Linked DNA regions of Oreochromis niloticus. The protein of the gene in region 2 interacts with the protein of the main gene of each other region in a pairwise test. Links are inferred from orthologs where the notes say so. Each region holds a gene or a part of one and is shown on either strand. Other genes may lie near its edges.

Region 1 (7,312 bases), on a different chromosome or scaffold from region 2:
CTAAAGAAAGAGGGTGGAGACTGGGACATGCATTCACATAGAGAGGAGGAGACAGAACTCTATGTGTGGCAAGCAGCACTGGAGTGTGCATGCTCAATTCAATTTGAGATTACATGGCCCTGGGAGACCTACTTGTTGCTTTATGTGATGACTCACAAGCGTGATGCATAACAATATCATGTGTGCATGTGCATAAAACCTTGTTCTGATCACATGTTCCTTGACTACACTGCCACATTGTAGGTTCTGCTTTATAAGCAGCCTGAAATGCATCCATCACTGTACAACCTCAGTGTCCGACTCTTGAAAGCAGCCTTTTATCAAGTTAACCACACTTAAATGTTTTCCTACCTTAAATTGTTAGCTTTCTTTCCTTACTTGCTTAAAACCGCACCCATTCTCCATCCATCACCCTATTCACTGCCTCCGCTTGCCACAAAAAACAACAACAAAAAAAAAAAAACAGAAAAAGAAAAAAAAAAAAAAAAAAAAAAAGAACAAAAAAAAAAAAGCCCACATCACATCTCAAAGACAGCAGGATGAGCTGTGTTTAGCCCAAGGCCACTTCCGCCCTACTGAGACTGACTAACAAGCTGGCTGAAGCTCACTCTAGTCAAATTAGATGTAATTGGACTGCTGAAAGCTGCTACGGTGTTCTCAACAATGTCATCATGAAGCCAGGGTCAGGGCGCACTGCTGTCTCCAACAATGGGTCAATTTGCTGTCCACGTTGGTGATGGTGTCAAATTTGTGCAACGCTTTTAATGCCAGAGAGAAATCAGAGCTTACCGATGCCACAAACATAGTAAAGGAAAAAGACAGCACTGCATTACCATAGCAACACCATTCATGTGAGACACACGCGCAACATCCTCCACCTCACCCAATCTCATGGGTGCACTGCACCACCTGATGGCCTGTAACTAACATGACAGCATACGCAAGGTGCATGGCTATTTTAGGCATTCAGATCATGACTGCAGGCAGATTTCCTTTCAGATGCTGTATTGTTTGAAGAGCATTATACATTAAAAGGTGACAGCGATTACCCCACGGCGCAGAAAAATAAGAAAGCTGTGACTGATCACTCAACAGAAACAAAACAAAACAAAAAGAAAAGACAAATCAAAGAAGAAACAGCCACAAGCCCAAAAGTCATTGATTTGCTCCTTCATCCACCACTTTCTATACTTACATTCTGACTCCGAGGCATGGTGGAAGATTTCTATAAGGAATATAAATGTTGTAGTTGAGTAATTTTTTGTTATTATTATTATTATTATTATTATTATTATTATTATTTTCCCCAAAATGAGTTCCATCACAAATTATAGATGGATTACATCATATACCACATCCAGTGTAAATGGCTATCCTAAAAAGGTGACTTAGTTTTATACATTGTTTCTAGACCACATGGCTTGTTGTCAATGTGGGACAAGCCATTTTTGGCTACTAGCCCATTAATAATATGGCTTCCCATTAAGGTGAAATCAGCTGCTTGCTATTTCTACTTGTAAACACCAGAGTAGCCATTTTCAAAACTGATGAGGGCTGGAAAAAAAAATTGCTACTTTGGGGCTTGCTATAACTAAATGAAGCATGCATACTGCTCTCTCAGAAAATCCTGGAGAAGAATGTCAGACCATCAGTTTGCGGTCTGAAGGTCTGACTCACTAGTTCTCACCAGCACAATGACCTGAAACACACCAGCAAGTTCACTTCTGAATGGCTCAAACAAAACAAAAAAAGGTTTTAGAGGGACCTAGTCAAAGTCCAGGCTTATGCCCCATTAAGATGCTTTGGCATGGGATTAAACAGGCTGTTCATGCTGCAAAACATCTGAATTCACACACTTCCACAACGAAAAGTGGCACAATATTTCTCCATAGTGAGGTGAAGCACTCATTTCCAGTTATCACAGATTGCAGTTCTTTCTGCCAAGGTTGGAGCAACCAGTTATTAAATGAAATCATTTAAAAACTGCATTTTTGTACTTTGTATTCACTGGGTGGTGGCGGGGGTCTTTGGCTAACATTAAAATGAGTTTGATCTGACATGTATGACAAGTAAACAAAAAGAATGAAAAAAAAATTGCCTCCTTCCTGATTTCTGAGCACTATGTCACTTAGATACAAGTAAATAGTACTTGTTTAGAGAGCTTAGTGCGGGATAGGCTCACAAAGATTTGCCACAATTTTGAAACACAGATGACTGACTTGGTGAATAGTTTACTTTGGAATTGAGGCTCTGTTAAAACTACTGCACAAGTAAACCCTTTCAGTGAGTAAACATATGATGTTGATCCACGTTGTTTAGAGCTGTAATGGCCTGTGAATAATGTGCAACCTGCATTCTCAATAGCAAAATAAATCAAGCATGTCCCAAAAATCTCCCACCGAATGCATCTTCACTGCACACGAGTTAAAGGCAAACTTAACACATATGTCTAAATAAAAATGAAAGTTATTTGCTATGGTCAATGGAACAATCACGTATGTGTTTACTGCTGAACTACCAAGTAACTTATGTGAAAACTGCCTTTATTTACCAGCTGATTAACCTGCTTCATAAATGATGTTACTCTTCGCTTCTCATATGCTACGCCCAACCGCGGGAAATACATGGTGAGAGCCTGCAATTTAACACCCAAAGGTAATTCAAGCCACAACAAATGTGCAGTCATTTTGGTGGTGGGTGTAGTTAGCAATGGATAAACGCAGAGCTATGACAAAAGAGTTTGCTAAGTGCTAGCATTCAATATTAGCATGCGTTACATGTTAGCAACAAACCTTAGCTCTCCCAGCTTCTACCTTCCTCCGACGTTCATCTTCATCCATGACTTGATCGAAATAAACGCGTTAAAGATTTAGGACATACGTCCTAATTTAACTTAAAATAACGCTAAACCTTCCTTCAAAGTATAAGTTAACCCTTAAACAAATCTTTACATGCAACTGTCAACAGACAATATTCAGTATGGCCGCCAAGTCAACGTAGCTCCGCCCTTATCGAGTTTCCCTTGCCTAACTGCCCAATCAATTAGTTACTTTCCTCACCTTCGGCCAATGAAATTCGTGTTGTTTAAAAATAAGTTAAAAGCACCGCCTACTTTATATATCAGTCAAAACTAGCACTCAACTAACCAATCAGATTTCTGCTTCAAGCCGCCTAGACTGGATTGACGTCTCTTGTAGCCAACCACAATTAGCTCATACAAATCATACTCCTGTCACAGCTGGATGAGGAGTTTGTCATTTAGGGGGCGTTCACAGTGAAGTACGCAGGTTAAAAATATTAATACCGTTCACATTATATTTATTTAAAACACAAAGCAACGATCTACAGTTTATATTAATTAAAGATTAGTGCCTAATGTACTCAAACAGTGCGTTTCCGTTTATTAGGAATCAATGATTGTGCCACGTTAGAAAGGTTTTGACTATACCCAAATGAGGTGAGCATCAGCAGCAGCCAGCACTAAAGCACTAAATCCATCCAACAGAGCCCAGTAATAATTCAGAACCCAGCTTTAGGCTTTTGTATGTGACAAATCAAAAGAATAGGACACATTTAATGTTTGAAGGTTTTCTTCACTGTCCCACCCTTTGTTTTTTTTGGCAGCAGAGGAACCAGACCAAGCAGGTAATGCAAGTCATAGTTAAGTCCAGTAGTAATAAACAGGTGTGTCCCATGGCAGCTACTCTGTGGCTTTAGTTTGTCTGAAAAAAGTCCGAGTTACTCCAAATGCCAAGACATGAAGTAAAGTTTAGCTAAGTCAAGTCAAACTTTATTTCTATAGTACATTCAGAACAACCTCAGCTGACGAGAGCACTGTACAAGTCAAACAAAATAGGCTTAAAATATAAACTCTACATAAAAGTCACAAAATCAAGCTGTAAGCCTGTGTGGTTAAAACTTCATAAAAAAAGTTATTGGAACAACTTGAATTTGGATTTGGATGGAAGTATTTCTCCATGCATTCTGATGAAAGTAGGACTTGCCTCTTGTATTTCAACCTTTTATTTTTATTCCATATCCGAACATCCAAGTCTGACAGAGAACCCATAGCTTTTAATGATCAGAAACATGGCACGAGTCGCATTTCATCAGTGCTCCTCACCATCCACCCACAGTACCCACCGATCTCCATCATCCAGCCACTGGTCTGTCCTTCCTGCCCTCTCTACCACTACCTGCCCCAACTCAGCCTCCTCATGTACTCCAGCAGACTATGAGATACAGATCTCATAACACCCCAGTGCCCCTCTGTTTCTATTTGGTCTGTTAAGTGTATTTAATATTCTTCTCCTCCTCCTGCTACCTGACCCAACCTGACCTACACTGCGTACAAGATTGCACGGATTAGATTTAAAATGTTCTGGTAAAATCCCCAAGTAAAATGATCTTTTGACCTCCCTGCATTAGCCCAAATCCCATATCCCATATACACCAAAATAAAATGAAAATGTGCAGTTTGATTTAATCTAGTATTATACATGGTTATTTGAGTTTTAAAACATGGAAACAGTATATATTTTTAAAATAAATTATTTATCCATGTGCTTCTTACAGTATTTGTTTTTTGCATCAATATCCTTTGCGAGATTTCTTAATTTGTACAATTATTGGTTATATATGAGAAAAAGGACAAACCACACGATACTTTTTCACTTTGTGCAACTATCGCAGCACCCTGTGCCACGACAACTGCAGATTCCTTGGATTCTTCTCCTTCAGCCCTGCCCTGCAAAACAGTCACCACAGAGGGTGCATAACAGCCGTGCTTATGTCATGTATAGCTACAGTATATGTTTGGTACTGTTTGACATGGTGGAGCTGATGTTGACACAAAAAGCCCAGATTGATCAGACCATGATGCATGACATCATGCTCCAAGCCATACCTCCCATGTCCCTGTCACCACCTGGTGGGCTCAGTCACTGGGCTTTTCACAATACACTTCTCAAGCATGTAAACAGACACAAACACCTCGACACATAGAGACAAAGTGAAAAAATGGCTACACTGTTTACCAAATTACTATTTTTTGTCTCATCAAAGTCATAAATCATTACTTCCAGGCAAGTTACCATGGATATCATGTTTGTAAGACCTGATCTCAAAACAAAGAGTGTTGCTGTGCATCAACATCAGCATCACTGCAGTCTTGCCCCTAGATCACCACAACTGCCTCCAATCAGCCACCTGATAGATGCTCATCAGCCACCAGGGGTGACGTTTTTCCCTGCTCCACATGTAGACACACCAACCTTCATCTTCCTTTGATAGACCCATCAATCCTCTCTGTGGTCTTCCTCTTTTCTCATCTCAGCCTTGCCTCTCTCTCTAACTTTGTCTTCAAGCTGCTCAACCTGAGCTGTCCCTCTGATATACTCATTTCTGATCTTGTCCATTGTGGTTACTCCCGCTTAAAATCTTAACATCTTCAACTCTCCCACCAGCTTGTCCTGTCTTTTTGTCAGTGCCACCATCTCCATCACAGCAGGTCCTCAGTTCATGTCCTGCGCCATCTTCACGTACTTCTCTGCCACTCTTGACTTCCTCATGCAGTGCCATAGTTCCTCTCTTGGCACCCTATCATATCTTGTATTCTTTAGATCCACAAAGACCTAGTGCAGTCCCTTCTGACCTTCTCTGCACTTTCTCCATCATTACTCTCAAACAAACGTCACATCTGCAGTGCTCCTTCCAAAGCCTGAGTGTTGCTTGCCTGTTCGTCATCTTTCTTCTTAACCTAGCTTTAACAACTCATACACGTAAATTTGTGGTAAGGCTCATCAATGAAAAAGTACTTCTTCCAAGTTTTCAACACATTCTCTTCACTCATTCATACCAATTTTATCTTTATAATTAATCACCCTAACCTGCTGCACATCCCTTCCAGCCAATTAATACAAGTTATTTTCTCCTTTCTTAGTCTCCATGCTCATATAAAACTTCCAACACACCTTTTTTTTTCCTTTGCCACCTCTCTCTTTGTTTTATACCTAGCCTCCCTGTACATCCGGCTACTTTCCCTTCTCCCTGACCATTCCATTTTTTCTTTGTTCTTCCTACTCAGTTGTATATAGTATTTGTATTTCTATTTTATTCTATTGTATATATTATTCTATTCTATTTTATTCTATTGTATATAGTATTTTATTTTATTTTATTGTATTTTATTGCATTCCAGTGTTTTCTAATTTCTGCTACATAACTTTGCACTTTTGCTGTAACACAACAAATTTCCCACCTGTGGGACTAATAAAGGTCATCTTATCTTATCTTATCTTTGCATACTTCCTCATTCCACATAGTCTCCTTGTCTTATTTCCTCTGTTCACCATTGGATCTAAATGACTGATCTTAAGTAGACTTCTTTGAGAGAATAGATTTGCTTCACTTAGGAAAACTATCTTAAACAAAACTAATAAACGGAGAAAAAACTGAGGCAACTTAGAAAAAACTGCTCAAAGCAGCTTGTAAGAACTATATGACTGAAGGTTTAAAACATACAGCTTTAAAATGGGTATGTGTGCTGCAGCATTGAATATCGTTCATGTGTTCATTTTTGTCGAAGAGCAGAAATTAAACTGTTCGTCATTCTTCGTTCGAAGGGAAAAAGATTGACGCCCGAACAGGGACTTGAACCCTGGACCCTCAGATTAAAAGTCTGATGCTCTACCGACTGAGCTATCCGGGCTCTGACGACAAAGCGCACAGGACACGATAAGAATGACAACCAGACTGAACGCCGCCAATTTATTTCACAAGTCTCAGAAACTTTTCTTTCAGCTTCCGTAATGTCAAGGCGAAACGGCCGTTATGTTAGCAGCGAACTACGCTAGCAAGCTAAACTTAAGCTAGCGCTGCAGACAGCCTTTTGTAACTTCATGTAGCCTAGAGCGACGTTAAAATACGGCATGCAAAAGGTTAGTCACCGTCAACCTACGCATCATAACAGATTATAAACGGGATCATGTTTGTAGTTTGTTTTTCACTACACACACAAACTCATTGCATCGTTTTTAATAGACGAATTTTCAGCTGTACAAATTGGTATTTTACAAGATTTATAATATAAACAAACAAAAACGCTAAACACCTTCAAATTATCATTAATCACTGCAGTCTCCATCGACAGTACTTCATCATCATCTTGGCACATCCCTTTGAAAAATAAAAATAATTTAACAATATGTGTACGAAAATATACAGATGCAAAACAATCCAAGTTAAGTGACACTCTGCATTAGCAACTTATTAAAGTGCATCATTCCCAGTGTAAAGACCTGGCTTATTGACA
Region 2 (7,955 bases):
AGCTTATTTATTTATAACCATGAAGGGTTTGGAAATGTAAGGTTGGATACTTTTATGTGAGTCTATCAACACGATTCAATAAATTTTAACAGTGTTTAAGTTTAACTCGGATGCTTTACAGTGGCAGATTGCTACTGTGACGATTGGGTCACAAGGAATCAAGTTTTTAAAAACACCATTTATATTAGATTAACTGAGTAGATTCCTCCAGCTGTAGCATCCTCCCATCCAGTTTTAATCTGGGGTCAACTTGCCAACACCAGCCTTGAGTTCTGACACCTTGACATGCTCTCTCTGTCACATACTGGCAGACGTTCCTTCTCAAGAGCGTGTTATACAGACAACGGGTAGGGTAGGGTTACCCCCCCCCCCCCCCCCCCCCCCCCCGCCACACACACACGGTCCTGTGTAATGCCTGGGTGACCTCATAAATGAGCAAGGCTGCTTCTTAGGACATAACACCATTGTATTAAAAAGTTGATTAAAATCGAGGAAAGACTGTAATTAGTCATATTAATAAGCATAGCTGTCAAACAGACGTACCTTTACACTGTCTGACTTCATTTCGGTTTCTTCATACAGGCCTTTCATAAAACCAGTAGTCCTGATGACCTGAAAATGGTGGGAAAAAGGTTGTTTTAAACAGACATGAAACTACAACTATATGCCATTTTTAGCTTCTGTACATCGAGAAGTCCACTCCAAAGTCTGTTTGCATGTATGTGCAGGAATAGTGCTTTTCACCTGTGAGCTAAAAAAAACAATATTTGCTGAGAATTAACCTAAACATTAAAGTAACACAACAACAAAAAAAACATTTATAGATTTAACAGTTTATGTCCTACAGTCATATTCAGACATATTCCTAGTCAGAGGAGGGGAGTCGAACATGCCGACACTCTTCCCTTTATCAAATATGCATGAATCTGGAGTGAAATATAAGACTGCTGAACAGGTGAGAATGAGTTGGCACCTCTGTTGAGAAGAGCGTAACAGATTTTACTCTGCTTGACACCTTATGTAAAAGGAGTCAACTGTGCATATAAAATGCTGAAAAAGAAAATGAAAGAAGCCGCAACTGAGCAAAACAAGTTTGATCATAAAGATCAGCAGTGTATTTACAACAGGACACTGACAACAGACCGTGGAGATGATGCAGTGTTTCCTGTGTGTGTGTATGTGTGTGTTTAAAGAACCATGATACTATAGCAGCAGTTGTACTTACTCAGAATGGATCTTTGGAAGGGTGGCTACAGATAACATTAGAATACATTCATATATCGTCCTGTTATTTCTGACTCTTAATTAAACAGATGGCAGTTAACCTAAAAAAATTAAAAACTGAGAAAGTTTTTTTCCTTTGAGGTTTACTAAAGCCTCTTTTGTTTACACATTAGACATTAGTCTTTTCTTTTAAAATTCCAGCAATCTTAGATTTCATAATGCCAATGATGAGATTTATCTAACTAAGGGAGGGGCAAAACTGTTCTGAGGAGGAAAATCACCTTTACTGTACTTATATTGTTTCCTTTCATCCCATTATACTGCCTGTTACTTCTCTCATGCATGTACTTAAGTACTGGCCTTTATAAAATGGCTTAGAGAAACAGTATTCAATTCAATTCAAGTTTATTTGTGTACTCCAAATTCCCTCATGGCAAGGTTATAACCTACAGTGTTAAAGAACTCCAACAATCAAGTGACCACCTATGATCAAGCACTTTGTGATAGTAGGATGGAGTAACTCCCTTTTAACAGGAATCCTCCAACAGAAGCATGCTCAGGGAGGGGCAGAGGAAAGAGAACAGAAAAGAGCGCATAGGGAGTCAGGACAATAAAAGCGTTTCTATTTTCTGTGTCAGAAGTGCCAGGTGTAATCACAACCTAGACCCATTCTGAACCAGAAAACTTTCACGTAGTACAATTGCTTTTCTAATGCACATAAAATACTAGAGTACGTAGCTGACCCTGATCTGTATCTGCACTTCTCTTCATCTGAGAGTAAAAGCTGCTGTGGGTTACTGAAGAGTCTGAGCTGCCAAGAACTCAGACATTTTACTGTGTTTTACTCTAGGCCACGGAAGACAGATCTTCCTGGCAAACACCAGAAAGACATCGGCTATAACTTCATCATATATGCATGGCTTGCGAGTAGCTTTAAAAAAAATGAAGGGAAATCAAAGAAGAGGCACCAATTATAGCACAGCCTGTGCTTGTTTTTAGCTGTAATCATAAGCTGATCAGCATCTGTGTTCTCAACGTGACGGATTCAAGAACCTAGCACAGGTTCATCCTAGCTGGCAGGTGCCCTCCTTTAAGCCAACAGCGGGGAAAACGGTTTGTTGATTCGTGTGTGGGCTCAGGTCGTGCCTAGCAACAAGACGACGCTGCTGAAACAACTAGCTCACTTGCTAACCCACCACATTAAATAAAGCGCAACCTGTCATTTAAGTGAATTGCTAATGCACCCCTTGACTATCAGGATTAGTGTTACTGACAATCTGAAGTTGCAGAAATTGGAGCTTACAAAATGTTCCGTAATATTCGCGAACCTACTTGGTTAGCTTCCTGCTAACCTTTATGCATTAGCTGGCTAACTAGCTCCTGTGTCTGTGTTTTTAACTTAGAAGTGGCATTAGGCTTGGCTTCTGAGAAGAAGAGTGTCGTGCCCCTTAAATAAAATCCACTTTGCTTTCTCGAGTGTAATGTCAGCAGCTGAGTCTCACCTCACTGAAGATATCGTGCAGGTATCGAAAAGGAGGCTTGCTTAGCAGTTTCTCGGTGAGCGGCGGCTTCTTTATCACTTTGCCCAGCGTGTCCTGGGTCTTTTTCACCACTGCCGCATTCATGGTAGTAAATAAAAAGCCAAGATAAGTACTTTTAATCAAGAACAAATACACGAAACTAACTAAGAGTGAAAAACTTAGTGACTCTGTCGCCTGGTTGCTATGTCTATGTCCTGCAATCCCACAGTGCATCATTAAAAAGGACTGCGCCTGCGCCAAAGGCTTACTGTTGCTAAGCGCTCTCTTTGTGTCCATAGCAACAACTAACAATCGGCTAGATAAATGGCTAGGCTAAGTAGATAGAAAATTCTTTATTATAGCCGCCAAAACAGAACAGCGTGGTTATATAGAGCAACAACTAGATAAAAGCATTCAATATACATACAAAATAAAACAGGGCATTCATAAACTGTAAGTTTTGGAAGCGAGATTATAAAGATGACAGTACTGGGGATTGCAGAGGTGGAAAGAATTATTCCTTTACACTGGACCGAGCTCCGGTATCAGTATTTGCAACAACAGAAATCAATTCGTTTTAGAAAAAATACTCCGCTGCCTGTCCTATAAGTTGTGGAGACAATGGCCAGGATAAAAATAAAAATGGCCTAAAAAAGGGCCATATATCCCTGTCTTTATTCTGGCATGGAGTGGGAGTTTCCTCTATACCAACACGCGGAAGAGTCATAGAAAGAAAGCAGTTTTAGAAACAACTGTACTTTCAGGCTTACACTTTTTAAGAGAACGAAATTTTAAATTAAAATAAAAAGTTATTTTGATTTAGTTAAATTTATTTATTTATTCTCAATCCATAGACTCGAGTTTCATCTAACAGCCCATAAAGGATATATGTTTTTAAACTTACAGAAGGGATAATAGCCAAATTAATGCTAGCTTCCCTATCTGCTGGTGTAATCCCACTACACAGCACAATTGTGCGCATGTGCGTGCTTCTTCTGTTTTTTTAAGCCTATTATGATATACCTGTTTGACAAGTTCGATAGGAAAAAAAAATCTGACAAAAGAGAGCGCACATAGGAGGGTCAGAGCAGATGCTTGTTGCTTCATATTGACGAGGTAAGACATTTACCTGCTACCTGAATATCTTCATTGACTTTTAAAAGTATTATGATTTCTTTCAAATGGTTAGATGCCTGACTAAAAGTTTGAAAAAGGTTTGTAAATTAAGGAACTGGTGGGGGTTTAATTATAATTATTTCAAATTACACTTTTTCACATAAATTCAGACTTGATTTTTTCCCCCCCCTTACAAATACAAGTGTGGTAACTATGTGTAGAATTACCGCTTATAAACCATTTTACTTACATGGTCTCAGGTGGAACCATTAATGAATTCTTGCTTGCTTGCTCCTTTGGCTTCATTGTTACTCTGCATACCGCCTTGTGAATCCTAGTTAGGCGTGTTTGGTGAGTCAGTGCAGCTTTATATATCTGTCAAATGTGAGTCAAGCTAAAACTGATTTGTGTTTTGTATTTAAGTATAAATGTCACTGAATTTCAATGGAACTCATTTGCCAACTTTCACAGCAGCTCTCTGAAAGGACAAGGAACGATGCTTCGCTGGGTCTTGCTTGCTTTGCTCATTGGCCTCTGTGCCAGTGCTGGGGAACAGAAAGCTAAAAAGAAAGTGAAGAGTCAGTCCTTGTCAAGAGGTGGGCAAATCTCCTTTTTTCAATATGCACAGCTCCAGTTAATGTCTAAAGAACCATTGCATAAGATCATTTATAGCTGTCAGACATAATAAAGTCAGAACTTTGCTTGTTTGGGAACATAGTTAATATACTGGCAACATGCAGCAGTTTTGTTGACTTAAAACTGTATTTTTATTTCCTGCCTGCAGGATGGGGAGGTGGTATTAACTGGGCCCAAAATTATGAAGATGGCCTAGCAAAAATGGCCAAAAGGTAGGACTCTAAACCTTGGGTAAAAGTGCTGGATGTCAGTTTATTTTGTTTGGATAAGTCTGTTCCTTTGTTGTGTCTTTCTGCGTTGGAATGATGCTCCATTACTTTTCCATAAGGGAAACACATTATTGCTTTAATCTTCATCTGTCTCTAAATCCAGCACGGGGACTTTGCTTTCTAAGGCATTTGGTTGTGTAAGACTGCCTTCACACCCTTCACTGTGTTTATTGTGTTTTGGAATGTACTGAGTTCTTTCTCTGTGGTTTTGCTCTCACAGTCAGAAACCTCTCATGGTCATTCATCATAAAGACAACTGCCCACACAGTAAAGGTACTGCTGCTACTTTGGTTTATTAAGTATACATATATATTAAAAAATATAGGCTTGCACCTCCTGCGCTGTCTTTCTCACCCAGACTTGGGCTTGTTTGTTTTCACGGGGAACACAATGGGTGCATTCTGTAATACCCACAAAGCAGGCAGTGAAGTATGTGAGAGTTATGTTCATAAATCACTCAGCTGGTTTTGTGAAATAAGCTCAGTGGAAGTCTCCACTGGCATTTCTTAACCCATAAACAATGACGACCACCTACAGAGTGAAGTCTGGCTCTAAATTTTGAGTTTTGCTAGGGTGGACCAAAAGCAGCCCGTTCTGCATCCTCCCTCTGAAAGTCTCAGAATACTGAAGCATTTCGTTTGATTGCAGCAAGTTGCATATATTTTTTTATTAGTAATGTGTCCTCATTTTAACAAGACAGGATTCATATATTTATAGTGTGTTGTGTATTCCCTTACGTGAATGCTCAACACAGATATTCTAAAGGTCCAACCTGCCAGACTTGTTTCTGACCTGTTAGGCAAGTTTATAAATGCAGTCTGTAATAACTCAACAGGCTTTACCTCCTTCTGACATTTTCTAGGCAGAATACATTTATTAATATTTCCAGATCATATAATTCATAATTCATTCATAATTATTTGAGAGCCAGTCTAAATATAATACTAAACCAAAGTATTTCAACAGACCTGAAGAAGGCATTTGTTGCGGATAAGACTATCCAGAAAATGGCAAAAGAGGATTTCATCATGCTCAACGTGGTGGTAATTAAAGATATGTTATATATGCAGAATATATATATATATAATTATTTTATTATTAAAATCATGTGCATCATGTGTACTATATTGTTATACACAGGAAGAGACTTCGGACAAGAATCTGGCACCTGACGGTTACTATGTTCCCAGAATCCTCTTTGTTGGTAAATTCTTACATTATTAATATAATTTCAATATAGAAGAACAGATTGTTTACTTTCCTTGTCTGAGGTTGAACAGAGATACATGCATAGCACAGAATAAAACCATTTAAACCAGGCTTTAAATACAAACAGCACCCCTTCATGCTGGAGTCTCTGTAATGCACGGTGAGCCAGTGAAAGGCCACTAACACTAACACTGGAGTACTTCTCCTTCTTGTCCCTTCAGTTATCTGGCTGCAGCATTTCAAAGTAATTGTAAATGAGCACGAGATGACTGACTAACTGCAGTCTACAGTGCATTACAGATGTCCAGTCTAGATGTAACAAAAGCATGCATAACCCTGCCAGATCTAATGGTTTGGATAGTCCCAAGGTTCTTTTTGCTTTCTCACTCATTGTTTTAGATAATGAATTTTACAGAACCACATTCAGTTTACAAAATGCACATCAGCTGTCACATAATACTGATTACTTTTCTGAGCTGTTCATGTGTGTGGTTTTTCTACAGATCCAACCATGACTGTGCGCACAGACATTACAGGAAAGTACAGCAACCACCTCTACACCTACACAGCGAGTGACATCCAGGACCGTGAGTGACTGTTCACTCTCTCTAATGACAGTTTGCACAGCTCACCTGTCAGCAGACTGCAGACACACTAATCCCCCACAGCTTGAATCCCTGTATCCCTTCCTCAATATTTTGACAGAAATGACTAAGTTTTTTTATGAGATTGTTCTGACAGAAAGAATTTTGAGCTCCGTGTGGATGTTAGTGAGAAACTTTAGCAGACTTGTAGCACTAGTAGCCAAACAGGTGGGAGTTTTGCAAATGCAGTGCAAAGACGAAGAGTTAATTTTTTAGGAGGAAAAGAGAAGGCAAGTGAGGTATGTGACACTGTTTCTTCCTGATATATAATCATTAAATCATGGCTTTGGAAACTAAAAGCACAATTAACACACTTGAAGCACCAGCATTCATTATGTGTTTGCTGATTACTGTTGTGTCACTGTAAATCATTCAGGGAGTTATTCTAGGTCCAAACCTTGTGGTTGTTGGTCCCAGAGACATTTGTCTTTAATATATTTAAAATCTAAACACAATAAGAGTCATCCATCAGAGTTGGCTAGAGTGTATCCCATCTGGCTACATCCTGGACAGGTTGCAGGGCTAACACAGAGACACAGACAACCTTTCACACTCACATTCATACCTATGGGTAATTTAGAATCACCAGTTAACCTAACCCTTTGGACTGTACCTAGTGAGAACATGTAAGCTGCACACAGAAAGGCCCCAGCCAGGCGATGGAGTGAGTGTGAGGCAACAGTGGCAACGATGCCACCGTGCCCTGCCAATAACCTTAAAAAACTTCAAACAAGATATATTTAAAAAGCACAAAGTAAATCTCCCATCTCTTAAACAAACCCCATAAGAAAAAAAAATATTTAAAACAAGAAGTTGAAGCCATTAAATGTGTAGTAATGGAAAAGTAGCACCTGCAGCTTAGGTTTAGGTTTCATTTCTGAACTACTTCACTCATGTAAGAGCGCTGCAGGCCTTGCTCTTATTTGTCCCTTCTTTGTCCACAGTGGCCGACAACATGAAGAAAGCCAAAGTCCTGCTGCACAGCGAACTCTAACGTGGTGCCTGACGTCTCAGCATCTTCCACACATGACTGCTCAGTGGCCAGAACTGAATTATTTAAATGTTTTTGGTGCTCATTAAAACCAAAATAAAGGAAAAGAAAGCCATCTTCAGTTTTTCTCACTTTAATGCAACACTTAATATATAATTAAACTACTCATTAAAAACACAGTGATAATGCTTATTTAGAACTGTTTATGATGGTATTGTTCCATAAGAAGATGATTAGGCAGTGTTGAGCTGTGTTGTTGTTGTGACTTTTAATTTGAAAGTGAATATTACATCAGAGCAAAAGAACTCAGTGAGAATCACTAGAAAACATAGTGTTGATTATTTAG

The links. The genes of interacting proteins can lie anywhere in the genome.
Region 1: the proteins of traf3ip1 (region 2) and pcnt interact in a two-hybrid assay, tested with the Homo sapiens proteins (2 studies listed by BioGRID and IntAct). The link is inferred for Oreochromis niloticus from reciprocal best matches to the Homo sapiens genes TRAF3IP1 and PCNT.

Annotation. Positions count from the first base shown.
Region 1 is NC_031983.2:17,163,294-17,170,605, reverse strand, and holds the start of pcnt (pericentrin), read right to left. Parts: upstream 3,001-7,312; 5' UTR 2,841-3,000; coding exon 2,793-2,840; intron 1-2,792. UniProt on the Homo sapiens protein: Integral component of the filamentous matrix of the centrosome involved in the initial establishment of organized microtubule arrays in both mitosis and meiosis. Plays a role, together with DISC1, in the microtubule network formation.
Region 2 is NC_031987.2:3,857,417-3,865,371, reverse strand, and holds the start of traf3ip1 (TRAF3-interacting protein 1), read right to left. Parts: upstream 3,009-7,955; 5' UTR 2,982-3,008; coding exon 2,727-2,981; intron 613-2,726; coding exon 544-612; intron 1-543. Other genes in the region: agr1 (anterior gradient 1), read left to right, coding at 4,357-4,456, 4,645-4,708, 4,986-5,038, 5,732-5,808, 5,906-5,969, 6,478-6,561, 7,563-7,612.